2 linked regions of the Coturnix japonica genome follow. The protein of the gene in region 2 interacts with the protein of the main gene of each other region in a pairwise test. Links are inferred from orthologs where the notes say so. Each region holds a gene or a part of one and is shown on either strand. Other genes may lie near its edges.

Evidence for each region.
Region 1: the proteins of PSMG1 (region 2) and PSMG2 interact in binary tests that used the Homo sapiens proteins (3 or more experiments, as listed by UniProt). The link is inferred for Coturnix japonica from reciprocal best matches to the Homo sapiens genes PSMG1 and PSMG2.

What each region holds. Positions count from the first base shown.
Region 1 is NC_029517.1:87,440,755-87,458,327, forward strand, and holds the start of PSMG2 (proteasome assembly chaperone 2), read right to left. Parts: upstream 10,621-17,573; 5' UTR 10,568-10,620; coding exon 10,487-10,567; intron 9,291-10,486; coding exon 9,119-9,290; intron 8,305-9,118; coding exon 8,246-8,304; intron 7,483-8,245; coding exon 7,364-7,482; intron 6,273-7,363; coding exon 6,099-6,272; intron 4,631-6,098; coding exon 4,510-4,630; intron 4,155-4,509; coding exon 4,035-4,154; 3' UTR 4,017-4,034; exon of another isoform or gene 3,786-4,016; intron 3,353-3,785; 3' UTR 743-3,352; coding exon of another isoform or gene 721-742; 3' UTR 1-720. Other genes in the region: CEP76 (centrosomal protein of 76 kDa), read left to right, coding at 10,652-10,714, 11,110-11,265, 11,910-11,991, 12,371-12,595, 13,322-13,507, 14,269-14,366, 14,805-14,933, 16,201-16,392 and 1 more. UniProt on the Homo sapiens protein: Chaperone protein which promotes assembly of the 20S proteasome as part of a heterodimer with PSMG1.
Region 2 is NC_029516.1:97,184,244-97,197,535, forward strand, and holds the start of PSMG1 (proteasome assembly chaperone 1), read right to left. Parts: upstream 4,240-13,292; 5' UTR 4,178-4,239; coding exon 4,056-4,177; intron 3,979-4,055; coding exon 3,878-3,978; intron 2,768-3,877; coding exon 2,616-2,767; intron 2,244-2,615; coding exon 2,181-2,243; intron 1-2,180. Other genes in the region: BRWD1 (bromodomain and WD repeat-containing protein 1), read right to left, coding at 5,679-6,817, 9,010-9,981, 10,607-10,795, 11,638-11,876, 13,145-13,292. UniProt on the Homo sapiens protein: Chaperone protein which promotes assembly of the 20S proteasome as part of a heterodimer with PSMG2.

The sequences.
Region 1 (17,573 bases), on a different chromosome or scaffold from region 2:
GCAGGATGGAGTTTGCAAAGTTGCCATAACACACGATAAGTCTTCCTGGGTTCTTAACCCTGACACCACAAAGGTTTAGGTCAGTCTTTCATTTTTATGTATGAAAAAATAAAACAGTGTTCAAAATTGTATTTCTGTCTGAGTCGTTATTTAAATTGGATAAGTAGCCGGGATGACTTTATGTATTTTAATTGAACAGAAGAAACCTGCTGTGTGCATCAGCAGAGTGCTTGCAGAATGTAGAAGCGTTTTGCTTGTAGCACACTGGCTTTGTAGTACTGCGGGCTCTGTGCGTTCCTTGCAGTGTAGCCTTTGTTCCTAAGAGCAACGCACCTCATGGACTGAGGAAGACGTTCCAACAGGGCCTAAAAACTTACTTCCATGCCAGGATTGGCCACAGGTGGCGAGTGTGCTGAGCTGCAGCCTTGTGTAGTCCCACTCAGGTCAAAGACGACTTCTGCAGCACTTGTGGCTGAGTGCGTGTGTAAGTGGCTGGCTGGGCTGACCTGTACTTGGAGCTCTCCAGCGAGTACGTGCCAAAGTGCAACAGGTTCCCAAGAGTGCTTTCCGCAGCCAAGCAGTGCTCAGTAGTCACTTCAATGCATGTAGGAGAAGCCGTTTGTGTTCTGTAGCGAGGTGCCAACCCGTTGTCTGTTCTGATTTCTCTGTCCTTGCACTGTGTACTGAATCGGTGACTCTCTTTTGCGTTGTATGTCGTAGGCCGAGACTGACTGACACCTAAGCCTCCAAGACTTGTGAATATTCTGCAGCTATAAACTGCAAATTATTGACATGCAAAGCGAGACATGAACCCCTCTTCGGGAACAAAAGTGAGGTCTGTTAAGTACCAGGAGGACCTCAGTTATCTGTTTACAGCGTAAACCGCATCCAGGGGACGAAGAACACCACCAGCATGCTACTTTGCAAAACAAAACGACTTGCCGTCTTGTGTTTTTATAATGCCTGTATTAATGTAAGAGAAATAAATTAGGAAATATTTTGTTTTGTACTGCCGCTCTTATTGTATTTTTATACGATTTTGGCAGCATTAAATATTTTTTTAAATGGACAACGTGCTGTTGTGTGCGAATGATGTTAGGAAGCAACTGTTAAAAGCTTATTTGGAGCTAGAAGAAATGTTTCACCTCACGGTGTTTCTGTCTTAACTGGAACGTTGCAACATATTCTTGCTAGAATGGGCTTTATGCAAATACTTAATGAATGCTAAGTATTGTAGTCTCAGCTGGGAGGAACTCCTGCACATTTCTTTTGTAATACACCACTAAGAACGTTATTTTATTAATCTGCCCGGTTGATTTGGTAATCCTTATGTTTGCTACCAAATATACACAGAATGTTCGGAGTAACTTTGGGAATGTGTTCTGTTGTTCTGCCTTCAGGGAAGGGGGGAGTCTGACTGCCCACCCCTCCCTGCAATGGATGGGCTGAGGGCCAGGTGCCCAGGTGGAGCCTTTCATTAAAGGGTTTTGTATTGTGCCATCAGTGTGTGTTACGTGTAGTGTTTCGCTTCACATCTATGATCTATCAGTGCTCTGAGCAGCTGGAGTGGGAAGGGGTGAACTGTGGAACAGCCTGAAGTTGGTTTAATGGACTCAGCAGCATTACCAGCCCTGTGCCTTCTGTTATGGGAGCTAAGCTCAATTCTGTGCTCATGGGAGCTCTGGTACTTTCAGATAAACCCTCATTCACTGAAAAGTTGTATTTTGTGAATGTCTAAACTACTGTGTGGTGCGGGGGGTGTTTTACTTGTGATTTGTACTTCATAGGATTTTTGTGTAAATCCTTAACTCCCTGAAAGCAGAAGGAGAAGAAAACTGGAAGGCACGGGAATATGGGACAGTATTTCTGCTACAGTACACAACCTGAAATCCTAACTTGGGTGTGAGGCTTAATGATGAAGTTGTGTTTAACTTCAGTACGTAGCTGAACAAGGGGAGTACTTTAAGCAGTTACTAAAGCTAAGTAAGTGCTCAGCACCATCTGGAAACAGTCACGAGCGTTGGGTTTGTCACAGCTACATTCAGCTTCATTTTGAGTTGTGTGGCTGTGCCTACTTCTAGTGAAGGACAGACGTCTGCCCTATGCCGTAGCAAACCTTGTTGCTGCAGAATGGAGCAGCGGACCCTGCTTGCAGCATTGTCTGCATCTCTGGATGCAGCTCAGCACTTTGTGCCTTTTGAGATTTACATTTTCATTTTTTTTTTGCCCTCTCTTAACTGTTGAGTTGGCATAATACATACAGTGATGGGCAGCACATGCTCACGCTGCTTTCTCTCACCCACCACTATCTCTGATCGCTGTCCAATATGCAGTAACTTGTACTTCATGGTGTGCCCTGAGCGTACTTCAGCCCTTGTCCCACCGTGACTGGATTCTCAAACTGCTCTTCAGGGCTTTAAACGCCATCCTCTCAGCTCAGCGGGTCTTGGGACCGCCTCGCTGAGCACAGGGAACTGAGAGTTCCCAACCAGATGGGCTGTACTGTGACAGCAGCAGTGTGAAGACACAGGCTCAGCAAGTCCCAGCACGTGCCTCACTTCTCTGCGCAGTGCTCTCAAGTTCTGCTGTGAAACATGAAGGCAGAAAGGACAGGCTGCTTCTTGAGACAAAGATGAAATGGGTTTCCAATCGGAGGCTTAAATCGTCTGCTGGAGCCATGCTCAGCAGGCACACAGAGGCTTTTTAATCACAGTTTCTCCTTGCTTCAAAGCAGAACAAGTAAGGCTTGGGATATGAGCTGTCACGGCTGTTAAATGATGGAGACAGCTCCTGCTGAAATGCTGCATCCCACACAGCACTCAGCATACAGCACGATGCATCCTGACTGCTGCGACTATTTGATACCAGCATCCCCTGCTTGCTGAGCTTTCTGTAGATACCCGAGCACCACTTGCCTGTCACCCTTCATTAGGACTAGCCTTCAGGTCATTTGTGCTATTGGTCCTTTTCTAACCAACCACACAAGAGTCGAATGAACAGTGTTTGCAGGTATGAAATACCACTGTGATGAGTTCTATGCAAAGGCCCCAAACGGGTTGTACTTCCATTCACGTTTCTAGCAAAACAATGACAAGACCACGAGTCAGAAGAAATAAAAGGATCAAACCCAAATATGTAGCTTAGTAATGCAACAAGTCCCACTGCAAACATGAAACACAACCAACAAAATAATGGTATTTCAGACTACACCTATAACATACAGGCACCAGGCTGCTTGCTTTCAGGACAGCATGTTACTTTCTTTATATGTCAGGGCACTGAATACATTCTCAAATCAGTCTGAGAAAGCTTGTCTGCCTTGCAAGCTTTTGTTCTGGTGTTTCTGCAGTCCCTGGAAGAAGAGTGGAAACTCTTACCACAAACATCAGAAAACACAGTGCGTGTTGCTCTGCCACTCGCAGCCTCTCCAGCTGAAGCAGCTGTGGCAACACTGGGAACAGAAAGCAGAGAGATCACTGCTGAGCTACACTGACATCAGCAGGAAGGTTTGGGAAGAGCGATCCACAGTTGGCTTAGAAGAGCGGCCCTTTATCTTTCTACAAAGATTCGAAAAGCTGCACGTCAATCAAGTTCCCAGCTACGCTAAGAAAGACACAGTCTCACAGTCTCGTGCGGGTTGGAAGGGACCTTAGAGATCATCAAGTCCAACCCCCAGGATTCGAGCCTCTGTGTAGCAGAGCGGCACTTCTACCACTTGCGCCACAGGGGGATTCGAACCCGGACACTGTGAGCTTTTCTACTGCAGTAACACTTTAACCAAAGAAAAAGGGGTTTGGAAATATTTTATTTAAAAGAAAAAAAGAATTCTTCAAGAAACAACCATGTCAAACCTATTTCTTTGTTCGATTTCTGAAAGTTATTGCTATTTCAATAGTTAACAGGGGTAAAAGAGGTTCTCCCTAAGAATGTATTTACATAACAAATCAGGATACTGTGGCAATTAGTGAGTTATCACCGGTTCAAGGGATAAGTGAGACTATGCTGGAGTGACTTACAGAAGAAATCCAAGCAGATCAGAAGAGCGCAGGTGGGAGACCGCTGCCAAAAAGCAGGCGCCAAGAACTTGGTATTTTCCATTGTGCAGAAGGATCTGGTATTTCCCACTCTGGAGAAGCAGCCATGAAAGACTTTCTCTGCAACAAGGACAGAGTAACTCCTTAACGCTTTAAATAATAATGCGATTTAATGCAATCCTCTCTCTGGCATATGTATAAAAATCACGGGCAGCATTTTAAGTGTCAGTGTCATAGTAGACTGCTTTAGAGAAGAGTATTGCAAGTTCTAAGCAGATGAAATCTTTACACAGTTTCCACCACCTCTGCCCAAGGTTTGTTCTTTGGGTGGGAAACTTCCCAGCAGAATTTGAATCAAAACATATCTTCCATTTGGTCTGCTCTTGGTGACCGCAAGCCAAAGCAAAGGCAGCCAATACAGAAAATGAAAATAGCTGATAGAAAATATGAAAGCTCTAAAACAAACAGCACTTACTCTGATTTTAATTAGCTGAAGCCATTCATTCAGATAGTTCACCAGCCCAAAGGCGTCAGGGATATTGTCCCCTTCTGAGCAGAATTTGAGAAGAACCGCCATGTGGATTCCTCTGGAACAACTGCAACAAAAACAAGCAGGATTTTCTGTTTCTTTACTAATCAAGAACAAATGGATTGATGTATTTAGCACACAACAAGCTGTATATGGTTTGCTTTAGAAGAAGTATTACACTAGAAAGGAAAATACAGATTTCCAGATACTATACATACAAACGTAATCCTTATATATTCATATATATATATATATATATATACATATATACACATACATACACACACTATACTTTTTTTTTTCCTTTCTTGTTTCCTCCAGACTTGCTCGGTTACATTTTCACACTTAATGTTTGCTTTCTAAATCTTGAATTTATTCTTTCCTTTGCAAGGCAAGAATCCTGTGTCATAGAGGGTTACTCGCAGCCTCCTCTACATGGAGTCTGCAACCAGAGCGTTGGCACTTTTGCCCCAGCAGGGCATTTATACAAAGCCTTTGCTACAATCACTCCTTATCCTACCACGTATTTCAAAGGGCAGTTTTGCAGGCTGTTAAAATTTCCACTTCTGCCTCCTACCAATGAAGCAAACTTTCCAAGCCCTGTTTGCTATTGCAACACTCAGGAAAAAAGCCATTAAAACCCACAATCGGAGCTGACTTAAGCATATATTCTGCAAAAACATACACTGAAGTTTACCCTTCCCTTTGTTAGACCAGGAACGCTACTGCTGGTAAATGGCTTTTACCACACTGTTATTTCTGAAATGGTTTTGGTGGGTTGTTTTTTTTCTGGGGGGTAGGGGGGAGGAGTGATACCAACTAGAGGGCCACAAAACAGCATCAATGAGTTTAAATTTAAAGTCCTATGATGTATGCGCTACAACAACTTCAATATTTTTTCAGTTTCCCTTAGCACTGTCCTGTTTTATTCATTTAGACATGAAGTTTTTGTGTGTTTTTGGTTTAGTTTCCTTTGATTTCTGCAGTCCTGGGAGGTCTCAGCTTTCGCATTTCTGCACTGTTTCCACAGCTGAAGTCAGCACAAAGGTAAGCACGGTATTAGGAACTCCTGCTGCTGGAGATAGCACTTTGGATGGGTGACAAAAGCAATAGTTAAGGAAAAAAGAAAACCACACACAAAAAACCCAAACCCCAAAAGCTAATTTTCCACCTGGCACTTATAAAACAAATCCCTTTTGCAGAACTAATATGTTTAGTGCAGTGCTTGAGATTTGCTAGCTAAAATTTGCCACCTGACGTGCTTTTGACACAATTCCTAATGTGCACACATTTTAACAACAGTAAAAATCCACAGCTAATCCATAATAATTTTACTCATGCATCAGAATCATAGAATGGCTTGGGCTGGAAGGGACCTCAAGGATCATCACGTTCCAACCCACTGCTGCATGCAGGGCCACCAACCTCCAGATGTGTTACTAGACCAGGCTGCTCAGGGCTCCATCCAACCTGGCCTTGAACACCTCTGATAGGACACCTGACATCCTTTATGCGTTTATCTCAATGCCACTCACCTCTCAGTAAACAATAATTTTGTGATGCCACCTCCAGGAATATGTAGAACTTTTTCTGCATCGCTTATTCCAGGGTAAGCTGCTACTTTTTCCATTTCTTTCCATTTCAGCTCCTGTATTTGGCCTTTCACTGCTTTCTCAAGAGCTGGTGTGAGCAGGTAGCGCAGCGGTGTCCTAGGAACAAATCATGAATGTGTTCAGTCTGACAATAAAAGACAGCACTGAAGTTATTACTTGTGACAGAAAGAAGCTGCGAGCATTGAGGACCTCAAATCTGCAACGAAGAACTGCAATACTCCCTTCTTCCCCAAGCCAAAATGTACAAGTATTCAGTGACTTCAGGACAATATACACAACTTTCTGCCACAAATATAACTAAGGTATCCTTTTTAAATGCTTCTGTAACTGGCAAATACCAGATGCATAAGCACATAAGTAGGAGATCTTTTGCTGTTAAAATAGTTTACACATAAAAGGTGATTTTTCTTGCTTCATATGGGAACAGATTCAATTAAAGTAAGTACAGACTCCACTGTTATACAGTATTTTTAATAGACTCACGCTACAACTACCCGCAGACTTCAAAAAGCTGTTTTCTGCATGTGTTATTCTCAGTCTTTAGTGACTCTGGTGTCAGAGTTATGCTGTGGTACTCGTGTCCCCCTTCACAAACCAAGGTGAAATAGGTACAACTTATGGCTCAGAATGTGCAAAATGAATATCACTCCTTCCCACTTCATTCCATTTTAGCTGGCTGTTCTTTAAACTGCATGCAAACAGCACTGGGCCTCTATCTGGGATGCACATAGACATAAGCCTCCTTTAAGGCTCTACACAGGGATGCAGCCTGGAGATCTTGCTATACTGAAAATCCTCAACATGCAGAACAATTAATGAAAGGTTAGGAGACTAGCTAATATTCTACTAAATCTCAAACATCTAATCAGAGATCTCAAGCAGCTGCTGGTCCTTGACATTGCTTGCAACAGAAAGAAATAAAGAAGTTAAAGCTGAGACTGACTGTGCAGGCCAAGCACGATGTCCTTACAGAGTATTATTTGCTCTGGACTTTCAGCAGGAGTAAGTTCAGAGACTAGCGCTGTGTAACACGAAACATTTGATACGATATTAAAGCAAGATGTCCTGTCTACACAGCAAAGCAAAATAATAAAAAGTACTACAAAAAGAGGGGAAAAAAAAAAAAGAAGTCAGGCTGCCAAAATGAACATAAATATTAAACAGATCTTTTAAGGACACAAACATACCCAAGGAGCTGTTCGTCATCGCGCTGGTATGCGTGGCTGCTGGACAGAAGAATGACTCTGGCACATTTGCTGCTTTCCACCCAAGAAAGCAGTGTTTGACAGAATGGCTTGTATTTGTCCTTCATGCAGGGACAGAGAATGAAATAGAAATGTTTTGTGTTGATAAAAAAACACCCAAAGCCAACAATATGAGATGTCGTATTTAACGTTCAGCTTTTTATATGTTTTTCTTCACATCCCTTAAGCTCACAGGTTCACATTTACTTTCAAAAAGCGGAAGACTGGCAATTTACCTCATTAAAGCTACACACATAATGATTACACTCATTAAAAGCACACAAATAACAACAGCTTTGTGTGCCGTAAGTACTAGTGGAAACAGCTTTAGAACGGGATGGGATAATGTGTAGATCACACCATATTCTTCCAATTTTTGCCAAAAAGCAATAGCAGAAATTAAGCCATCACAATACAAGATACAAACACGAGGACAAGAGCTGTATGAAGAAAAGAGAGATGGACAAAACTCAGAACATTCTGTGTTCTGTTTGAGACTATTAATAACTAAGGACATGTTAACAATACAGCTGAGTTGTTTTGGGGTTTGGAAGAACAAAACTAAACCTCAGCCCTCAGCGAGAGCAGAAATCAGCTCTGAGACAAAACTGTATCCGACACAGAAAGCGTTACAGCACTGAGCAGAAAAATATCTTGCGAGACTTTGGTCTGGTTTAAGAAAACGTTTCCTAACCTGGCACAGTTCTTCTCATTGTACTTCTTTGCTTTGTTTGAATCATTCTGTAAAACTGACCCAGGGTGCCTGAACCATCTGCACACAGAACTGCAACTACTGACGAGTGAGCTCAGAACGGATGCACGTACCTTTATAAAAGGTGATCTGATCTGCAGAACTACAAGCTTCTTCGAAGGCAATGAATACACTAAAAGGAGAAATAATAAAGCTTTTTAACAAGAAAGAAATCTGGGCTTTACAAACCTGAGGATAACCTGAGAGTTATCAAATCCAATTGCTGGAAAACCTGATTGCTGTTAAAAATAGCTCTTTATTTTTGTGCAATGTCTTCACTGGACTTAATTTCACTTTAATTTAATTAATTAAAAAATTTAAAAAATCTTAATTTCACACAGATTCAAAGGAGTGAATGAAGCAGAACATAAGATCTGCCCCCTTATGATGATTCAGGAAATTCTTCTGTGCAGCTTTACGAAGTTTATGAAAGATTATTTTGAAATTTCTATGATTTAAGAGCATAAAATAGAAGAGGAATTAAAAAAAGAAAGAAACGCCATAACTGAGGTGGAGCAAAACCCAGTGAATTTAAGGGGGAGGAACAGCACAAGGGGGAAAAGACAAACACAGGAGGGAAGTGAGAAATCCCCTTCTACACCAGAACGCAGCTTGCATTCCTGCACCTAAACTATGAGCACACTTCATGTTGCTTAGGATTAAAATTGTTGGGAGTTTTGGCTGCACTGTAACACGATTGTGAGCCAGCCAGCATTACTGGTTGCATATGTCAGACTGGTTATCAAAAATAAAGTAAGGCCTACTAACGGTTTCCTCTGCAAGTACAAACACATTCTTATTTCTAAGAGACTTAGTTACTGAAACTGTTACTAAGGACTTTAGTTTAAGCACAGTCCCCATAAGCAAAATATAACAACAAAAAAAGTAAATGCAACCTTTTTTGCTCTGTATGCTTCTTGCAAACACCACAAGCATTTAGTACACACCTTCAGCGTTTATGCTCAGCTCCATTGAGTTCTCCTTTGTTGTTGCATAAGGATTATTCCCCACCATCGGCACCAGGCAGTCGGTGTAGAAGTAGCCCACTTTAGGCATGCGAAGTGTGGAGATCACCAGATCTACTGCCAGCTGGCCAACGTTTCCTACCGACACTGCTGGCTGAAGCAACAGAAGTCAATGGATTACAATGTGCTTTATAGACAAAATGCTCTCCAAACAGTGAAGGTACAAGACATTTCATTTCTGACTAAATGTGATTTCTTTAATTGACAGCTCATTTTCAGACAAAGATGACCATCCCTTAGGTTGGTCACCCAGAATCACACTGGTCACTTCTGTGAATAACCCTGTCTCTCGCTGTAAACTTGAACAAAGGTTTTGAAACTTTTTTTCCCCCCATATATATATATATATATATATACATATATATATATATATTTTTTTTTTTGGGGGGGGGGGGGGGGGGGGGGGGGGGGGGGGAGGGAGTGGGGAGCATAGAATTGGCAAGTCGCTCTAGAACGCAGAGATTGACAGACCTCAAGTGACACCTAATGGTAACGTTGATATTACACACTCAACTACAAGTCTCAGCTTGAGCAATAGGTAAGAATGAGGCGTCTTCCAGCGCCCTGGTTTCGGCTGGGATAGATTTAATCTCCCAGCAGCTGGTGTAGCAGCGTGTTTTGCATTTCAGGTGAGCCCAGCGCTGTTACCACACTGCTCTTTTGGCTGCTACAAAGCAGCGCTTACAAAACTAAGGCCACTTTGGCTCCTTGTGTTGCCCTGCCAGCGAAGTGCTGGGGGGCCAAGGAGCTGGGAGGGGGAGGAATCAGGGCAGCAGACCCAGCCTGGCCCAGGGGACATCCCATGCCATAGAATCACAGAATGACCCGGGTTGGAAGGGACCTCAAGGATCATGTAGTTCCAACCCCCTGCCTGGCAGGGATGCCATGTGGTGAAGTGCTCAGCAACACAACTGGGGGAGCTGGCTGGGGGCTGCTATTGCCTGGGCATCGCTTAGAGGGTGGTGAGCAATTGCAGCGTGCTTCATTTATTTACGTTCTTCTCTCATTATTATTTCCCCTTTTCTGCCCTACTGTCAAACTATCCCAGCCCACATGTTTTACTTCCCTTCCGATTCTCTCCCTCACCCCCTGAAGGTGTATGTAAGCCACGAGCCGCAGGGATGGGACACGGAGGATGGTTTTAAGCTAAAATGGGAGAGATTCCGGTAATAGGAGGAATCTCCTCACTCAGAGGGCGGGGAGGCGCTCTGAAGAGAGCTGCGGGTGCCCTATCCATGAAGGCGCTCAGGCTGCAGCCCCCCCGACCTCCGCCCCCCGACAACCACTCACCATGAGCAGCGTGAAACCCTCGAAATCGGGGCTGCCGCCATCGCAAGGCACGAACATGCCGGCAAGGCCTGACGGAGACATGGATGCCACAAGGCAACGCGCAGCTCCGCCCGCTTCCCGTCCCCCTCACGCCGCGGCCGTTGGGGCGGAGCTCCTCCCGCCGCCATGGCGCTGCCGCCGGGTAAAGGGTCGGAGCTGAAGCAGCTCATCCAGCAGCAGCTGCTAAAGGTGAGCTGAGACACACGGTGTTTTGCATCCTTGATCGTGTGGTGCCGAGGGGGGGAGGAAATGGGCATTGTCTGCTTTTGTGCCTTAGAGAACTAAGAAGCGGCCATCCGAAGTTTTTAGTTCTTTGTCCCCCTCAGAAGTCAGACGGGAAGCTGTTGGGTTTGCAGGTTTAAGGCGCAGAGCAGTGAATGCGTTCAGGCTCGTTGTGCTCATAACGTTTTTAATTGGTAGAGCTGCTTTAGGGAGGCAGTATGACTTCTTCAGCTGGCTCTTATTTAATCCAAGAACTCATGGGCTCTATGTGCAGAAAGTACTGGCAGTCCTACAGGATGCTTCTTTAGTTGTAACTGCTGTCAGGAACTTCTATCTGCAGCTTGTAAGAAGTTCTCTTTCAGATGGATGTCCATGGAAGGATCCGAGAAGTTCTGGCCGAGACGATACGTGAGGAGCTGGCGCCTGAGCATCGGCAGTTATCCACGGAGGATCTGATAAAAGCCTTAAGACAGCGAGGAATCATCGATGATGTTATGAAAGAACTTAAATTTGTCACTGTGAGAACCTCTTCAAGTGTGAAGATACTTTGCTTATTCCTCTTAACTGATGTGGTGTCTTGTCCAAGTTCTAACACACTAAAAGCATAGAATCACAGAATAGCTTAGGTTGGAGAGGACTAACCCCCTGCTATGAGCAGGGCTGCCCTCCACCAGCTCAGCTGCCCAGGGCCCCATCCAACCTGGCCTTGAGTGCCTCCAGGGCCTCCAGCTTCTCTGGGCAGCTGTGCCAGCGCCTCACTGCCCTCTGAAATAAATTCTTCCTTCTATCTCATCTGAATCCATCATATTTCAGTTTAAAGCCATTGCCCCTTGTCATAACTCTATGCTCGCTGACGAAGAGTCCTTCACCTATTTTCCTGTAGACTCCCTTTATGTACAGGAAGGTACTATTTCTAGTAGTTCAAAAAGGCTTTAGTGACTTGTGATGTTTTAGGACAAAACAGTGTGTGCTGTATTTGGTGTAGTGATAATACCACAGTGTCAGCGTTTGCTCAGTTTTTGTTAAGTCTCACCTATTAGCAGAGGTTGTACAAGAGGAATAACATTTGATTGGGAAGGAGAATGCTTTAAATTATAGAAGGTTGAGGGAAGGCTGCTGCTGCCTCAATTAACACCTTAAAAATTCTTTATTGTGATTCCAGGATGTGAGTGGAAAGGAGAGGGCTTCATCTCCAAAACCATCAACACATTTTGTTGATAGAGAGCCACCGGTTATGAAAAAAAGTATGTTGCTCATTTGTTCTCATATTTCTGGGTTGTAGTTTTGATAGAAATGTCAAATGTAGGATTATTGATCTTGGAATTAATAATACAACATGAACTGGATTCGTTTAAAGCCTCCAAAGAGGAGAAAAATATGTCTTGCTTATCTAAAGGATGTAAGTTTGACTGATACAGATTCAAGTTTTATGTGACGTTCATGTTTCATTTATTTTACGTTAAAATAGCATCCATGTATTTTAGAATCACTTTCTCCTAGGGACTTATATACAAAAACTTTATTATTTCTTTTTATTTCTCTTCTCCTGTTGGTTAGCTGATGTTTAACATGCTTCCTGAGATCTGTTTGTAGTCTCTTCATTTTTGTTGCTACGCTTTACAGCTAACATTGACCCAACACGAAGGTATCTTTACCTTCAGGTTCTGGGTGGAAAAGCTTTTCTGGAACATCTTCAGGAACCGGATCCTCTGCCTGGCCAAATCTGTTCTACTTTTACACTATGTCTTCATTTCCGAAATCAGCGTTTCCGTTCTAAACCCGTTCCCTGTGCTTGTGAGCCAGATTTCCATGATGGTTTTTTACTTGAAGTTCACAAGGAAAGCCTAGGTAAGGAACATCATGACTTTAAAGCTGATGCTATGTTGTTTCTTTTCATAGAATTACCCAGGTTGGAAAAGACCTTGAAGATCATCAAGTCCAACCACAGCCTAACCAGAACCCTAACTCTAAAAACCCTACACTAAATCATTTTGCTTTGTTTCACTGGATTTCTTTTTGACTTTATAGTTATTCCAAAACAGGTCTGAAATTATGTAGTGTGTTTCTTTCCTATTTATTACTAAAATTTTTTGTAGGGAAATTGATGACTATTAGATTTCACTTCTAGATCCTTCTCTATTCTTACCTTGTCTTTTCTACTCTGAAGTTACTGCCATGGTCCTGGGCTTTGGGTGTTCCTTCTTGAGCAGGGGTTAGGCCAGCTGACCTCCATAGGTCCCTTCCAACCTTGAGCATTCTCGTGAAGGTGGATAGCAATTTGTCACCATGCAGAAGGAAAAACTTTACTTTGAGCTCAGTTTGCTATGAGTTGTTCGATGACTGACTTCCACGGTTATCTGTCGCCTCTATTGCCTTTCTGCCGTTGGTAGCCAGGAAATGTGGTGGCAGATGAATGTTATGAGAAGAATTCTGGAATCAATAGTGGTGTATAATAAATAGACCTGAAGCATTCCATGTTTTCAAGAGTGCAGTTATTTACCTAAAAAGTAGTATTATTTTAAGGAGGACTTGGGGTGATATTCTGGCTATTTAATGTTGCTTTATTTCTGGCAGGTGATGGAAGTAAAATGGTGGATGCAACAACTATGTTATCTGTATGTGATCCAGTGCATATGGTTCTGATCAAAACAGACACGTTTGGTGAGACAACGCTGGTAGCGTCCTATTTCTTGGAGTGGCGATCTGTCCTGGCTGCAGAGAATGGCATCACAAATGTTGCTGTTGAACTCCTGGGTGTAGGTAAGAATAACTAATGAGCATTTAACGATGAGTTAAAGTATTGCGTACTAAGTTTGATTAGAAGCTTAAAGTAGTATTTATGGTTTGGTTTGATTTCAGTTCAGCTAATCAACTCATGAATTACTTTAAGGTATCAACTCATGAATTACTTTAAGGTATCCTTAAGAAGAGTTTATATAAAGGACTAATGGTCAGATTTTTGTCTTATCAAAGTGTTAAGAATGTGTGTTCCAGATCCTGTGCAATAGTGGTCCCTGTACCTGGGAGCCTCTGTTATCTCCAGGATGTGGGTAAACTATCAAAACAAACATAAATCAACAAATGCGTCTCCAGGAAAAATACCGTGTCAGTGTTCTCAAGTGTAAAATCTAGCTTGTCCTGTGTAGCAGTTATGATCCTGCTCTAACCACAGTGATCTGAGCAGTGAGTTGTACATTCAGTAACAATGGGCACTTGTACACTGTGGCTCTTCCAGTCTATTTGTAGGTGCCTATTCTAGCCCTTACAGAACAGCATTCATCTTGTATGTTCTGGTATCACCTGGAAAGAGGCCCTTAGGGCTCAGATCCAGTTACCAGCTTCTTTAGCCAGGTTATCATTCCTTTCATTCTTGAGTAGAATATTTCAGTGAAGATCTTTGTGTTGTATGTACTTAGAGAAGTTTATGGGGTTTTATTTTTATGATGGTATGATTAAAACTATTATTTGTTCTGTGTCAAATGAATTTGAAAGGACTGATAGGAATGTATTTTGGTTCAAAGGTACAGAATCAAAGGTTTCTGTCGGTGTTTTGAACATCAGACTTGAAATGTATCCACCACTTACTAAGACTCTGTCTCCAGAAATAACAAGCACTCAGGTAAGTAATATGTAGGGGGTGAGGGATGGCCTGTTCTTTTATCAGCAGGGGGGATGCACACTGTACAGTTATTTATGTAGATAAAGGGTCGGTTACTCTACTTGAAAAGCCAGTAAATGGTGGCCCAAAGGTGTTACAGATATTATTCCACACTTAGCAAGGTGAGTAGTCCTTCTATACAGATATGCGTCACTGAAGATGAACACTACTTCAGTCAAGCTTGATATATCAGCCTACAAACAAGAAATGTAAATTGAGTTTTACATTCATTGGATTTTCACTTTAAAATACTATTCTTTAGCATTGGTTGCATGCTGTCATATTAAACTTCATTTTTCATATGCAAGGATCATGTGCTAGTATGTATATTGATTACTTTTTGTTCTTGTTTGGAATTATTATATGTGTGAATGGTTGTGTGTATTTTCCTACCTGTAGTTTACTTTGGAACGTCAGAAGACAGCAGAAAAAGAACGTTTATTTCTTGTGTATGCTAAACAGTGGTGGAGAGAATACCTGCAGATCAGGCCTACACACAACTCAAGGCTGGTAAAGATTTTTGCACAGGTTTGTATATTTTACAAATACACCAATCTGTTCTTCAAGGTGTTTTTTTTAGTCTTAGCTGCATGTTTGAAGTTTGTGTATGTAGAATTTGTATAGATTTATGATGTGGTTAGATTCCATTCAGGGCTACATGTGATACAGTATGCTGACAATGAAGTTTTCAAGACTTGAACTATGTATACTGAAGCTGAAGAGTATGTTTCATAGAGAAAGGCTGCTCCAAGCACCCCTGGTGTAGGAGGTAGAAAAGCCATTTTAGTCTTTTCCTTGAATAAGTACAAATGGCAAATGCTTAAGTGATCTATACAAACTATTGCAGACAGGTTTTATACAGTAATAAGTAGTGGAGTTACTGGATATACTGGAGCAGATCCATATAATATTTGAGCACTCTGTGGTTAATAAAGTAATCTGGCTGGTGAATGTTGCATGGTAGTTACAGATGTGAACAAATCATTGGCTAGTAAGTTACTGTGTTGTAACTTACGTCACAATCACATCAGTTGTTCCTTGGTGACTGCCCCTCAGTAGTAGGAATGGTATGGGACTATAAGGACAGGCTGAGGGAGCTGGGCTTGTTCAGCCTGGAGAAAAGAAGGCTGCAGGGTGACCTCATTGCAGCCTTTCAGTACTTAAAGGGAGCCTACAAACAGGAGGAGAGTCAAGCCTTTGAAAGGGTAGATAACAGACAGCCAAGGGGAAATGGTTTCAAGTTGAGGGAGGGAAGATTTAGGCTGGATGTCAGGGGGAAGTTCTTTGAGAGTTGTGAGGTGCTGGAACAGGCTGCCCAGAGAGGCTGCTGATGCCCCATCCCTGGAGGTGTCCAAGGCCAGGTTGGATGGGGCCCTGGGCAACCTGGTCTACTATTAAATGGCAAGGTTGGTGGCCCTGCCTGTGGCAGGAGATTTGGAGATTCTTGATCCTTGAGGTCCCTTCCAACCTGGGCCATTCTGTGATGCTTTGTGTTTATCATGCTAATATATGAATTTAACTTGTAGAGCAGCAATTTTCCTGGCACAGATGATGAAATAACTTCCGGAAGCAATCCACACCTGCTGTTTGTCTTCAGGGAAGTGAGGTCTTCTCTTCTGGCTTCACCAGCTGTGTACGGGAGTAGTGTCAGCTTCCACGTAAGGGTGTGGTGCATTCATCTCACTGCTGAACACACCTGGTGCAGCCGGAATGGAAGCTTCACTGGAAACTAACAGTAGATAATGGATTGCTTTAGGAAGTTTTAATAGTACTATTATTTCTTTACCACGTTCAGGATGAAAATGGAGTAAACCGTCCGGTATGTTCATATATCAGACCACTTCGAGCGGGCCGGTTGCTAGACACACCTAGACAAGCAGCACGATTTGTCAGTGTCCTGGGTTATGAAAGAGCTCCTGTCATCGGAGGAGGTGGTGGCAAACAAGAGCAGTGGTGCACACTTCTTGCATTCGTATGTAGAAACAAGGTATGTAAAAACAGTCTTTGCATGACAACTTTTATAGTTGGAATGAAGTTAGTCATTTAAAACAGGTTGCAAAAGGTGGACTGAATCCATTTCAGAGAACTCATAAATGCAAATAGCTTTTATAAGATCAAATAGTGGCAGATGTTAAGTATTAGACAAGAGGGCTTTGGAGCTGACTTACTTTATTCAGTGCTGTTGCTTGAATCCTTTTTTCAATGAATCCATTGGACATCATGTGTAATGGTTCCTTAAGGGGGGAAAAATAAAAGCCATCATCACAAACATCCCCTTTTCCTCCTTCAACCCAGCTTATGTTGCTGAGCGCTATGACATGTGACATGGGACATCCTTTGGGTGGTCTGGATCAGCTGTTATCCTGTTTCTGTCCTCTCAGTTCCTTGTGTACCACAGCCCTTTATGGGCAAGGCAGCATGAAGAACTGAAATATCCTTGTGTCTGTGTAAACGCTGCTCTGCAGCACCTGCAATGGTGTGCTGTCAGCACTGTTCTCATAAAAAATCCAAAATGCAGCACCATATGAGCCTCTGTGAAGAACAATAACTCCATTGGAAGTTGTAAAAGCCTGATATACTTTGATATGGTGCATATTAAAAAGAGGAATTCAAGATTCTTAAGTTTGTAACCTTGAAGTCCTGACTTCTGGTGCATGTTTTAGGTAAATAGGAGGGAAACGCGACTTGTTAGATAACAACTGGAGAAATACTGCTTTCTTTTTCTAATGTTTTTAGCTATGCCTGATAGTCAAACCAACATACAAACATTTACTGTCTAGGGTGACTGTGAAGATCATGCCAACCTTCTGTGCAGTCTTCTTCTTGGCTATGGATTGGAAGCCTTTGTGTGTGTAGGAACAAAAGCAAAAGGAATCCCTCACGCTTGGGTAATGACCTGTGGAACCGATGGAACAATTACTTTTTGGGAGAGCTTAACGGGACATAGGTGAGTAAAAAGCAAATAAGAAAACTAAGCAGTACCTATTGAGATTTGTGTAGTTCTTCTGGTGGGTTTGTGTGTGTGTGTGTGTGTGTGTGTGTGTGTGTGTTTGTGTGTGTGTGCTTGTTGGTTTTGTCTTGTTTCTTTGTCATATTCATTTCCCTGTCTTGTCATTTAATCAAATATCCAGGAGACTTTTGTCTGTGCATCTTTGCTCTGTATACTTT
Region 2 (13,292 bases):
TCCAGGGCCTAACCACTCTCCTAGTGAAGAACTTCCCCCTAACATCCAACCTAAATCTTCCCTCTTTCAACTTAAAACCATTTCCCCGTGTCCTGCTATTGTCAGCCCTTTCAAAGAGTTTAATTCCCCTCCTGGGAGTAAGTTCCCTTCAGGTATTGAAAGGCTGCAATGAGGTCGCCCCGCAACCTTCTCTTCTCTAGGCTGAACAAGCCCAACTCCTTCAGCCTGTCCTCATAGGGGAGGTGCTCCAGCCCCCTGATCATCTTCGTGGCCCTCCTCTGGACCCTTTCCAAAATCTCTATGTCTTTCTTGTACTGAGGGCTCTACACCTGGACACAGTACTCCAGAGGGGGCCTCACAAGGTCAAGTAAATTTATCACCCAGCCATGGAATGACAAGAAAACCAGTTTTCCACAAACTTGGGTCTGAAATCCCCGTATGACTCAACAAACTTACCCCAGCTTCTCATCTCCTTCACCTTTGCACAATTGTTGTGGCTCTCTTGTACAATCCTCCCCTGCACCCAGGTAATCCTCCTTACATGCTGGCCTGGCCAGCTGGCAGGTAAGACAAAGCCGCTTGGGGACTGGCTGGGCATCAGTCAGCAGTAGCAAGCAACTGTTTTGTGCTCCACTTGTTTTGTGTGTGTAAACACACACACACTATATATAATCACCATCATTACTTTCTCTTCTCATTTTTTTAGTAAACAGTTTTGTCTTTTGTTCTTATCTCTACCTCTAAGTTCTCCTTTTTGCCCCCAGTTCTCTCCTCCATCCCACCGAGAGCAGGGGGGCTCAGTGTGGTGCTGAGCTGCCTGCAAGATTAATACACAACAACCAAATAAGCCATGCTTCTTCTGAGGCAAGGATGGGACCGGGATCCACATCCAAAATCAACAGCCTGAAAATTCCCCTCGGATTTATTTAGTTAAAATCAAAAGGATATTATTCAGGGGGAAAGCACAGGGGTAAGGATCTGAATGACTAGCAGTACCTGCATCCTTGAATCATGATAGGTCTGCCCATATAACAATCTGAGTATATTAACAAATGGGGCAGATGCTACTTTGGAAGCAGGTTCTTTCAGAATTCCACCTTGTGAAAGAGTCAGATCACACCCATCTGTTCTTCACACACACCCAGTGAAGATATCACCTACCCTGAATTTCACAATGTTTATCTGACAGCTGTAATAATTAAGTTATGTTATAACTTTATTACAGGATTCTCCCAAAGCTGAAATTCCAGTTCAAACACGTCATTGAAAAGATGAATAGGAAAAAGTTTGTAAAATGGGAAAGGGACAAAACTGAAGCTCTCCAAAACAAGTAACTGCACTGCGAGTTATGGTAAACATATACATAGTCAGATTGACCATGAGCCAGCAGTGTTGCCCTTGTAGCCAAAAAAGCCAATGGCATACTGGGGTGCATTAAAAAGAGCGTGTCCAAGCAGTCGAAGGAGGTGATCTTCCCCTCTACTCTGCCCTGGTGAGGCCTCATCTGGAATATTGTGTCCAGTTCTGGGCTCCCAGTACAAAAAAGACAGATCCTTGGAAAGAGTCCAGTGGAGGGCCACTAAGATGGTGAAGGGCCTGGAGCATCTCCCCTATGAGAGAAGACTTATGAAACTGGATCTCTTTAGCCTTGAAAAAAAAGAAGCTGAGAGGGGACTTGATCCAGGTTTATAAATACCTGAGGTGTGGGAGCCATAGTGGTGAGGCTGGTCTCTTTTTCAGTAGTGTGTGGGGACAGGACTAGGGTAATGGGATGAAACTACAACATAGAAGTTCCGCACAAATATGCACAAGAACTTCTTTACAATGAGGGTGACGGAGCACTGGAACAGGCTGCCCAGGGAGGTGGTGGAGTCTCCTTCTCTGGAGATATTCAAGACCTGCCTGGACGCCTACCTGTGTGACGTGGTGTAGGGAGCCTGCTTTGGCAGGGGGGTTGGACTCAATGATCTCTAGAGGTCCCTTCCAACCCCTACAATTCTGTGATTCTGTGATATTGATAATTCTGAATTTGTTGAGTACTTAAGAAAGCCATAGTAAAAAAACAAAATTATTTACAGTACTGTCAGGTATAGAAGAGTAGAGAGAAGAGGCAGATGCACTAACTTGAAGATTCCCAGTCCTAAGATCTCATTGCTCAATATGTTGTCTTGCAGTAATACCTTTTCAAGCCACTGGAACTGCTGATCTTCAGCAACATAGCAACTACACTGGCACAACAAAACCTGATAAAGAAAAACAAGGTTGAGTAAGTGGTTTATAGGACACAACAATAAATACCACATGCAAAGATGGTATGACAGCAACCAACAACTTGTTTGGTATTCCTGGAATTCTCTATTTTAACACGAGTTTTTCATTCATAGCCTCATATGAAACATTCTACCATGTAATACCATCTTTGTTTTAAACTCCTCACACTAGAACTGCAAGTGGTTTTAGTGACCATAATGACCCTTCACATTTGCTTGTGAGGTTAATCCAAAATGCTGCAGCTGTAATGTTTTATCCTTCATTTGTGCTGGGCAAGGTGGGATGAAAGGAGCTTGCTCCCTTTTTCACAATGCTAAAGTACAGAGAAATTCTAAGTCACTTACTGTTGGATCTGATATTAATTGATAGAACAAGCAGAAAGAATCTGTTGGGAGGACACTTGTTGCATTGGTTGTTTGGCACCATTCATTCCACAGTTTCACAGCTCCAACTACTTTCCAACGTACGGAATCCAGAATAAAAGAAGACAGGAAAGCTGCAAAGAATCCTAATGTTAATTTACCAAGAATAAAAATCTCTGTTCTACAAATAAACAGATGGAATGAGATATTTCTTTTTCAATATCCACAAATTAAAAAGGTACAGTAAAAACATTTTTACTGACACATGTTTATCAACCATATCCAGCAAAGATCGTGAGTAATCTCATTGACTCAAGACATAAAGAACTGTTCTTGAAGGGAGGCTAAGGAAGCTGGGGCTGTTTAGTCTGTGGAAAAGGAGGCTGAGGGGAGACCTTATCACCCTCTTCCAGTACCTGAAAGGTGCTTACAGTGAGAGTGGGGCTAGTTTAGGTTGGATATTAGGAAGAACTTCTTTACAGAATGGGTAGTTAGGTACTGGAATAGGCTCCCCAGGGAGGTGGTTGAATCGCCATCCCTGGTTGTGTTTAAGAGCCGTTTGGATGTGGTGCTCAGGGATATGATTTAGTGGAGGGTTGTTAGAGTTAGGGTACTGGTTAGGCTGCGGTTGGACTTGATGATCTTCAAGGTCTTTTCCAACCTGGGTAATTCTATGATTCTATATATAGGTAGAGATCTCTATTATTAACAACACACATTAAGAATTGTATCGCCACAATCAACTTGGATTCCTTCAGAATATACCAAGAGCACGTGCTAATGAATATTATGTCTTTAATAGCTCTTAACTATCAGATTCAACAGATTTCTCAGGCAAAAAATAACAGGAATGCAGTCAGCAAGTAGAACTGAATCTTTGGCTTTAGGCAGCAGACACATGAGCATGCAAAACATAGCGGCAAAAACGCTGCTGAATCAAACGACTATAAATCAGCTCTCTCCCTCCACCCTATTACCGCACCACGGCCCAACCCAAGAGGCTGCAGGCACAAGGACAGCGCTTTGGCCATTCACAGAATCACAGAATGACCCGGGTTGGAAGGGACCTCAAGGATCATGTAGTTCCAGCCCCCCTGCCTGGCAGGGCCACCAAACATACACATTTACTAAATCAGGTTGCCCAGGGCCCCGTCCAACCTGGTCTTGAACACCTCCAAGGACGGGGCATCCACAACCTCCCTGGGCAGCCTGTTCCAGGCTCCATCCCCACGCTTTCCACCTACCGGCAGCGTTGTGTCCTACGGCGACCACGAACCGGGAGCAGGGCAGGGGTTCCTCGGCGGGGCTCCCCGCGGCTCCCGGCGTCCAGAGCACGGCGATCTCCCTGTCGAGAGAGGCCGGCCTTACAAGCACCCACCGGGAAACAAGGCGCTGCTCAGCGCTCGCTCCCCAGGCCGCTACCTTTTCTCCTGCAGCTCCCTGCGGATCTCCCGATCCTCTGCCGTCTCCTCGGTCTCCTCCTCATCGTCCACGCCGGCCCGGGACGGAGCGACCACAACCTCCCCGAAGAACGTCGCCATCATTTCACCGTCACCGCCTCCCTCCTTCCTCTCCCCAGTGGGCGGGCACCGCGCATGCGCGCCGAGCCGCTCTGCATAACCGGCACCATGGAGTTTACCACAGAGGGCACGGCGGGAGGAGCCTCAGCCCTCCCTGCCCACCCACTAGAGCCAAGCCAAATCGATAGGAGTTGTTGTTCCAACAGAGAACACGTTGTTAGTGAACCGTGTTCCTATTTCATGAACTAATAGTACTTGTCTATACTGAGATAATGTTCTAGATACCACCAAAACGTGGTCAGTTGCACCTTTGGGCATAACAAGTGCTGGAGAAGTGCTTCTCAGTAACTGCTGCCACAGCTTTCATTACTTCACTGCCACCTGTATAAGCACCTAGTAATATATTAAGTGTGATTATGAAGCTGGACTTTTATCCCCAAGAATTTGTTCCTCAAGAATTCATCTTCTATGTAATAATTATTTTTTGACAGCAGCCACCTCAAACATTTCAAGAATTGGTCAATAAACGGCAGCAATCCAAACTTTTACCTTTAATTCAATGCAAAAATCTAACATTAAAGCACTTAGAAGTTTAAATGTGGAAGACCAACAGAGATTTTGCAGAAATGGTGTGGAATGTACGAATCCTGCACCTCCAACTTCTCACACGTAAAAAAAAAACAACAACAAACAGAACAAGTGTTTTGTCGGTTTTTCTATTTTATAAAGAAAACACACAAAAAACCCTTAGGCCCAAGTGTTCACCTGCATTTCATATTCTGAAGTTTACAGTATAGAAGTCACATTAATGATAGTACTACCTGTCAGTATAAATCCTCTCTTCACCAGCACCAATGTGCCTTTGAATTGGCAAATAGGCTTTTCTCAACTGGTAACTGGTTCTAGTTGTATGTTTTCATTAATGAATGTACAGAACATTTAACATCTGTACTAGCGGAAGCTGTAATGTCGTTAACTCAGTGACTGCTCATTACTTGTCTGATGCGATACTAGCATCCACCGAATTTTTATAGCGTACACTATTATTTATAAGCCTGTTAATATCATATATGATTTCTTACAGCGTAAGAGATGTCTGAAATTTGTTCTTGAATGTTGAATGACCTAGGTAGTATTCCATTGCAGCACCCATAACAATAATACTCAACATACTGCTATTAACCTGTTACGCAGTGTTTTAACTTTTCTTTTTTTTTTTTTCTTTTTAAACTCTCGTTATATGTAATAAAATACCAGTAAAGACAAAAAAAATTGCCCCTATAATGAGGCACATTTTGGCATCTGTGCTAAATGCTGCTACATGGGCAGGCAAGTGCAAGTCAAAATATGAAAAGGAGAAAGTCATGATCTAATCACATTCATAACTTTTTCATAGAAAAATATAAATATATTCCCTGAAATGTAGGACAAGGAAGAGCCAGCATCCAACATGAGTTCTAGTGCTATTACCATTAAAAAAAAAAAAAAAAAGAAAAAAAAAGTGGGCTGGCTTTTCCTTTTAAGGTTACGTTTTACAAGCTGCATCACCTACACCTCTGTCATCGTCATCATCGTCACAATCGTCATATCTAACAGTCCGCCTACCCCTGTTTCGAGTTCTTATCTTAGTACGCCGGTTAGCTCTCCTGTATTTGCTGTACTCCAAATCTTCAGAGTCATTATTTTCTTGGTTACGTTTCCGACGTTTCCTTCGCTGGGGTCTTCTGGAAGGCTTAGGTAAACTTGACATTTCTTTTCTAACAATGTCTGTTTTTCTCTTTTTTGTTTCTGTGGCGTCACTATAAATACTGTTATCAGTTCCAGAGTCTGAATCAGAAGAACAATCGCGATTGGCTTTTGAGCTCCCTGCAGTGCCAGGTGTTTCCACGTTCTCTGATAGTGAGCTTTTTTCCTCTGCCTTCCTCCCTGCCGCAGATTCTGATGTTTCTTTTAGGTTGTTTGATAATTTTAATCTTTTCGAAGGAGCTCTGGATTTTTTATTTCGTGCTCTTCTGATAGATTTAGTTCCACGTTTAGCTATCTCAGAACCCACCTCCTCTTCAGAGTTGCTCGTATGATGGTTGCAGGCTGAAGTTGACTGACCAGAAGTTCTCCAATTTCTCCCATTTTCTACCTTGTGGTTTGTGGAATTCTCCTCTGAAGAGTCAAATGTATTTTTAAGAGCCGCGTCGCTTTTAGTTCTCTTTGTCTGACTCTCGTTATCATCACTCTCCTTTTTAGTCACTTCTACCTCCGCCTCAGATTCTGTTTTTTCATCTTCAGACTCGCTAATGTACTTTCTCTTAGGAGCAGACGATCCAGAACAAAAATCATTTTTTTCATCAGAATCCTGTTCTTTCTCATTTTCAGACATCACACTAACATCTATATCTGAGCTGCTGGTCAGTTTTTTCCTGGATGCCACAGACGTGCTGCCATGAAGCTGCTTTCTGTTCTTTTTCACTGTGCAAACGCTCTCCGAGCTCGATAGCTCTTCCTTTGTATCACTCATTATCTTAATCTTATTAGCTGCCACAGTGGCGCATCTGCGTGGATTTTTCTTTTCCGTCACATTAGACACCTTTATGTGTTTCCTGTAGTTAATGATACAGGTCCTGCTCCTGAGCACTTTCCCACTTTGTCCAGGCTCCTCAGATGTAGATTCTACAAAACAAAATATTTTGAATTTCCTTTTAATAACTTGCATTCCTGAAATAGCTCATTTATTAAGCATAAACACTGCCGCACTTAATGAAATATGCGAGGACATGCTTTTATTTCAACCATTATGAGCAATCTACCCTAAGGCTTTACTAAGGAAACAGCCAGACACTCAGTCCTGAGCATGTTTTTAATTCTCAGGATTAGTCTTTTGCTTTGATATGAAGAAAAGGTTGTACAGTAGCATTCTGTAGCATCCCTATAAAAACTGCCTTACAGATTACCAGCTTAACCTACAACCTTTCTCGTACTCCTACTTCCATCACTAAAGCTCGAACTTCTATTACTGTTTTTACTTGCTCTTTCAAAATGAGTTATTATAAATTTTAGATTCTTTATTCTTAAGTATTACATCAGACTATTACCTCTTGGTAATAGAAATAACAATCAATTTTACCATAGCTTGAACCCACTGCCTTGATGATTCTCTACCTGTACAATCTGCAGATGGATGGAAAGCTACGGCAGCTCTTCCTTTCTTACTTCAAGGAAAGATAGGCCACTAAATATTTTTCAAGTAAACATTTAAAGAGAAGAAGGTTTAAAGGGAATGCTCTTCTCTTACAGAGGGATGAAGAAAGCTTGTCTTGCTAATGCTATTTCAACTACTAAAACTAAAGGCCTAGCATCTTTTGAGAATGACAGCCATTAAGAGACTGTCTGAGACAAACTCCAGTGAGGTTCAGTGCCTGGCTCCTCCTGGCCAGATTACTACATTCATCACTGTTAGAAGTTATTCAGGCTCCTGGGTTCCCCAGAACATGACCTATGAAGTCAGGACAGGACAATACTTTCCCTCAACTCTTTATAAAGAAATAATGCCATGAATGTGTATTCTAAGAGACTAGATGAAAAACAAAACACATTTAATTCACATTAAATGCTGCCTAGGTACAAAAAGATTGTACAGACAGGGAGGATCAAATAAGGAACTCCATTAGTCACAAACTAGGATCTACAAGAAAACATTTACAAGACAGACACCAAGATATAAAGGCCTTATCCACCCAGTCTACTGTTGTGACAAGCAGTCCTGTAGTACATGCTATCAAATTCTAAACCTGGGAGTCCAGGCTACAATACTGGGTAGGAATATCCAGCCATCCCTTGAGTCACATACACAGCCTCTTACATACAGCCAAATATCCAAGTAAATTTATGTTCAATAAATACTAAAGGGCTTAAAAACAAACAAAAAAAAAGCATGTATATATACCAACAGTACACAAATAATAGCTTTTACAAGTACAAGCTTGCTAATTCACCCATCACCAATAGCTCCCACTAAACCATGTCCTTCAACACAACATCCGAACATTCCCTGAATACCTCTAGGGTTGGTGACTCCACCACCTCCCTGGGCCTCCATTCCAACACCTGACCACTCTTTCAGAGAAGCAGTATTTCCTAATGTCCAGCCTGAACCTCCCCTGGTGCAGCTTGAAGCCATTCCCTCTAGTCCTGTCACCAGTTACATGAGAGAATAGGCCAACCCCCAGCTCACAACAACATCTCTTCAGGCAGTTGTAGGGAGCAATGAGGTCTCCCCTGAGCCTCCTCTTCTCCAGGCTGAACAATCCCAGCTCCTTCAGCCTCTCCTCATATGGCCTGTGCTACTACTTCATCCACCAACTCACAGATTTTCATGATTGAATGTTTTAAACCAAGGAGCAGACTGATGAAAGACAATAAATTTCTCCTTTTGAGATCTCTTGTGTGAAGCTCAAGATAATTCATTCATACATATTCTTCTAATACATACACAGAGAAGGATGCACTGATTAAATATGAAAACAGTAGGGACTTAGTGACTTTTTCATAGACAAATGTAAACCCCGAATTGCTCAAGAACTTTCAGCATTCATCACTAATTCTAAATACCGAAAAACCACCACCATAAAAACTAATCGTTTCCTTAGTGCTGTTTTGCTGACCTCCCAGTCCCACTGTCAGCATCACCATTTCTTACAGTTCACCTGCTGATTTCTAGTTCTTGTTTTAGGACAAGGAACACCATTACACTTCATAGAGTCCAAATCCCTGCAGTCATTACCCACACTAAAATTTCCCCTGCCTAGTCAGTACGTGAGGTTAGATGCATTAACTCAAAATTATTATTATTATTATTATTTTACCTTTTTGGAAGATTTTTGTTTTTCCTTTTCTCTTCCACTTTCTTGTTTTTGAAGAAGCATCAAAATAATTACTGTTATTGGAATTTGTTTCAGATTCTGTATCAGAAGAGTCATTGAAATCAGCACCAGGTCCAGAAATAGGGCTCGCTATAATTCTACATGGCACCAAGGTCTCTGAAACAACACTTCTCCCATCCTGTCTGTCTTCTGTTTCAGATTCTGCTGTGTCCTCCAAATCACTCAAGACTTTTGCTTTTTTTATGGGAGCAACAAGGTGCAGACCAAACAATTTTCTGGCATTCCACGTATCCGATTCGGAACACGCTTCATCCTCTGAGTTGCTCACAACAAACTTATTTGCAGACACTGATTGCTCAGCTTTCTGATTGCTCCCATCCTCTGAATTATGGCTTTTGGAGTCCTCTGAAGAGCCTTGTGTGGGACTCCTTGTTTCGGGAGACACAGAAGGAGCTGTCCCTCGTAACTGCCTATGGCCATTGCTTTGCCAGGTTTTCTGTTTCATCTGTGTATCTGTCTCAGAATCTGAACTCTCATTTTCAGATTCACTTACAAATTTTCTTCGTACAGCAGACGAAGTAGGTAGAGAAAGAACTTTCCTCTTGGTAAGCTGCTCTTCCGTTTCTTTTTCACTTTCAGACTTCAAACCTGCATCATCCTCAGACCCCTCCAGTAACATTCGCCTGGCTGCAGCTGAGGCATTTCGATGAGGCAGTTTTCTATTTTTGCATCCAATACCAATACTTTCTGAGCTTGAAACCTCTTCTTCCACATCACTCATTAGTCTTAACTTAGTAGCAGCCACAGTAGCACTTCTGCGTGGGATCTTTCTATGTCTCCCTGTACTATTACTCAGAGACTCAGATGTCACCACAGAAGTATTTTCAGAATTGCTTTCATATAACCTTTTCCTGACAGCTTTTCTTGCATTCCCATTCTCCTGGGGAAATGTACCTGTGAAGGAGAAGGATTAAAGTCTTATGTTCAGGAGTAGTCACATTTTCAGCCTTATCAAATCTGGAACAGGTTCAACTCACAGACATGACAAACAAAGCACATTCCCCTAGTAATAGGTAGGTGGTTTTGTTGTCTGGCAAGAAAAAATACTGAGCTATATCACAGAACCATACAATGCCCTGGGTTGAATAGGACCTCAAAGACCATCTAGTTTCAACCCCCGTGCCTTGGGCAGGGTCACCAACTACTAAGCCCAGTTTGCCCACAGCTGCATCCAACAATTATATCGTGAATTTTAGATTCATTACAGTTTTTTGAAAACTGCTTTATATTTTAGAGCTTTAACAAACAAAACTCTTCAAGAGATGCTCTCTCAGTAGGCTCTTGGTTTCAGCCCTCCTTACCCTAAGGACTGAAAAACAAAAAGTGAGATGTACAGAAAGCAGCATTTTGAGAGCAACAGGTCTACTAGTAATCAAACAAATAGTACTACAACATACAACAGTTCAAAAAATACTAATTACAATTATTTTTCTATGTACATGTGTGCGTGTGTGTGTATACATACACATGCATACATCTGGCTCATGGGCCATTCAGAAGACAACTACTCCAGTCTTACCTATTTGTTTCCTTTGAGCAGCTTGATTTCTGGTTACCCTACAATTGGTGCTCTTTCTTCTACATACACCATTGTGCAGTGGAGGTGACACGAGAGCCACAGAGCTTTCTTTGCTCTCTTCTGAGCTCTCTTCTGAAGAGGATGAAGAGGATGTAGATGAAACTAAAGAACCTTCTACTTCACTTTCTGCTGAAAAAAAAAATTAAATCCTCAATTAGAATACAGTTCTAAAACAGTTAAACAGTTAGTTTTCATTTAGGAAGTGCACTTCACTTATGCTGGAAATCTTATTTTCTCACAATTTTATCTAAGAATACACTTTTTATCATGTCTTAATCTCTTGCACATATGAAACTGATAATTCCATAAAGTATACCATTCCACATTTGTGAAGTGTATGGTGTTAAGTCACTCTGAGACGTATTTAAGTTTCAAATAAAATAGCAAGTATGTTATCTGAAAACACCTCTAAGAGGAAAGCACCTTAAAAAATACACCACGCTTTCCTCTCAAGAGTCACCCATTCACCACAACCACTTTCCGAGAACAGCTGCTCAAAGTGAAAAAATTCTATCACTGTATTTGGTTAAGGAGCATCAAGTCATAAAGGTGTGTGGGTCAACTTATCAACAGTCCTACTCATTCAGCTTTGCTGTCAATCTCCATACAAAGCTATGGAAAAGTACTGTCTATTTGACTGTGAAGTAATCTACGGTAGCAATAAATTTCTTCTTAGGAATACTTTTTTCATTAATGAAATTAATCAACTGCATTCTGTGAGATTTTACAGCACAATATTCTTTAGTACACAGAACTTTTTAATAATAGATTAGTAAGTCAAAGCACACAGACACTTGTATTCCCTGAAATGCAAACTGCATAAAAAATCCAAAGTTTTTGCATTGTTAATGTTTGCATTTTTAATTTAGAATACACTGGCAATTAGGGTAATTGTAAGGGAAACATTAGTAGGCAACGCATAGATAAGACAAAGATGAAAACCCTCATTTGAAACAGATTCCATTGATTACCTGATGACAGTGTTGAACGGTTTGTTAGTGTTGTAGATCTTGCTTTTCCATTCCTTTCAAAGGATGTCAGGCATGCAGAATCAGAGGATTCTCCAGACGAACTACGGTTGTAATTGCTAGCATTTGTCTTATGGCTTGCAACACAGGCTGCTCTGCTTGAGGTAGGTTGACTGAAAGAATCTTCCTGTTCAGATTCAACTTTTGCCTGAGACTTTAAAGGTTTCTGCTTCAAATTCCTACTGAAAAGGGAAATAGTAGAAGCATCATAGCTTGTAAAACTACTAAAAAGAAAACCAGACAGTTCAGTACATCAAAAGTAATTTTCTCTGAAAGCTTAATTAACCGTATGCCATACGATTTTACATTTAGTTTTATAATCTAATATGGTATGGGATAGTCTTAACTTTGATGAAGATAAGCATTAACTCCTTTTATTAATATAATAATCTACCAAAGATGGTAACACTAAATGCCTTCTATACCTATGTCATCCTATTGTTGCAATCTGTTGGTAAACAACAGCTTCAACTTCTGTTGAATTCAGTCTCTTGTTATCTGCACATAAACCTCAAAGTACCTCAGTTTGTTGCTTACAACCCAAAGTTTTCAGATGTTCTAGAGACATGAGACATATATGCTCTCCTGCATAATAGTTTAATATCCAAACACTCTCCAAGAATTCCCAAAGATTCAGTCCTGCAAAGCACCACTGAACTGTAAACAAGTCACATATAGTTCTTCAGAGAGGAAAAGCAGTGGTGTTTCAAAGGAAGATTCCTGCCTACACTGCTGTGTATTTGCAATGTTCTTTGAATTGTTTTGCTGGAAAACACTGAGAACCCAAGAAAAACATCCAGTAAAACTTCAAGTTCATCAGGTGTGCTTACAGTGTAATCTAACATTTATGCACAAAATAATTAAGTCAAATATATGAGAAACGTATTCTTCTGATTTTATTCTTAAAACTATATTACTGTCCCTTCACTGTCCATCAAGGAAGGCCAGAGAGTGGGAGAAAAGCATACCCTCAATTCCAACAATTCACCACGTTTTGTTTTTGTATTTTGTACTTTGTTTTACTTCATCCCATGTGCAGATTAACAATTCAAGAGTAAATCATTTCAACCAGAAACCAGCAGAATGCTACAGCAAGTTAAAAATATAAGTTCCATAGGATTAAATTTCTTCCGTATGTAGTAAGATAACTAATACATATGCAGCAAGAACATGCTTTAATATTCCAGTCAGAATAAAAGCTGATTTCATCACTGAATTATTTAGAATAAAGCATACATTAAACCATTCCTGTTATATTCCTCAGTCCTTTCACTGTTCCACAGGCAATTTTACACTACCACAGAACTCCTTTTAAGCAGGTTTATCTTACTGCAAGAGAAGCGATTCCAACAATGATCACTGGAGTTAGCTAGACATTTCATAAAACAATTGAACTAAATTAGCTCTTACTAAATATGACAGCAAATACAGTCAGTCCATAATGTGTTACCTGGGCATTTTGGTAGGGTGCTGTGCTGAGCTTTGACTCTGAACTCTTCTAGTGTACCTCTGGTTTCTTCGTATCTTTTCATTCTGCTTCTGACCATTTTTGAAATCTGAAACAATTCTTCTTATTTTCTCTTCAAATAGTGCTGACA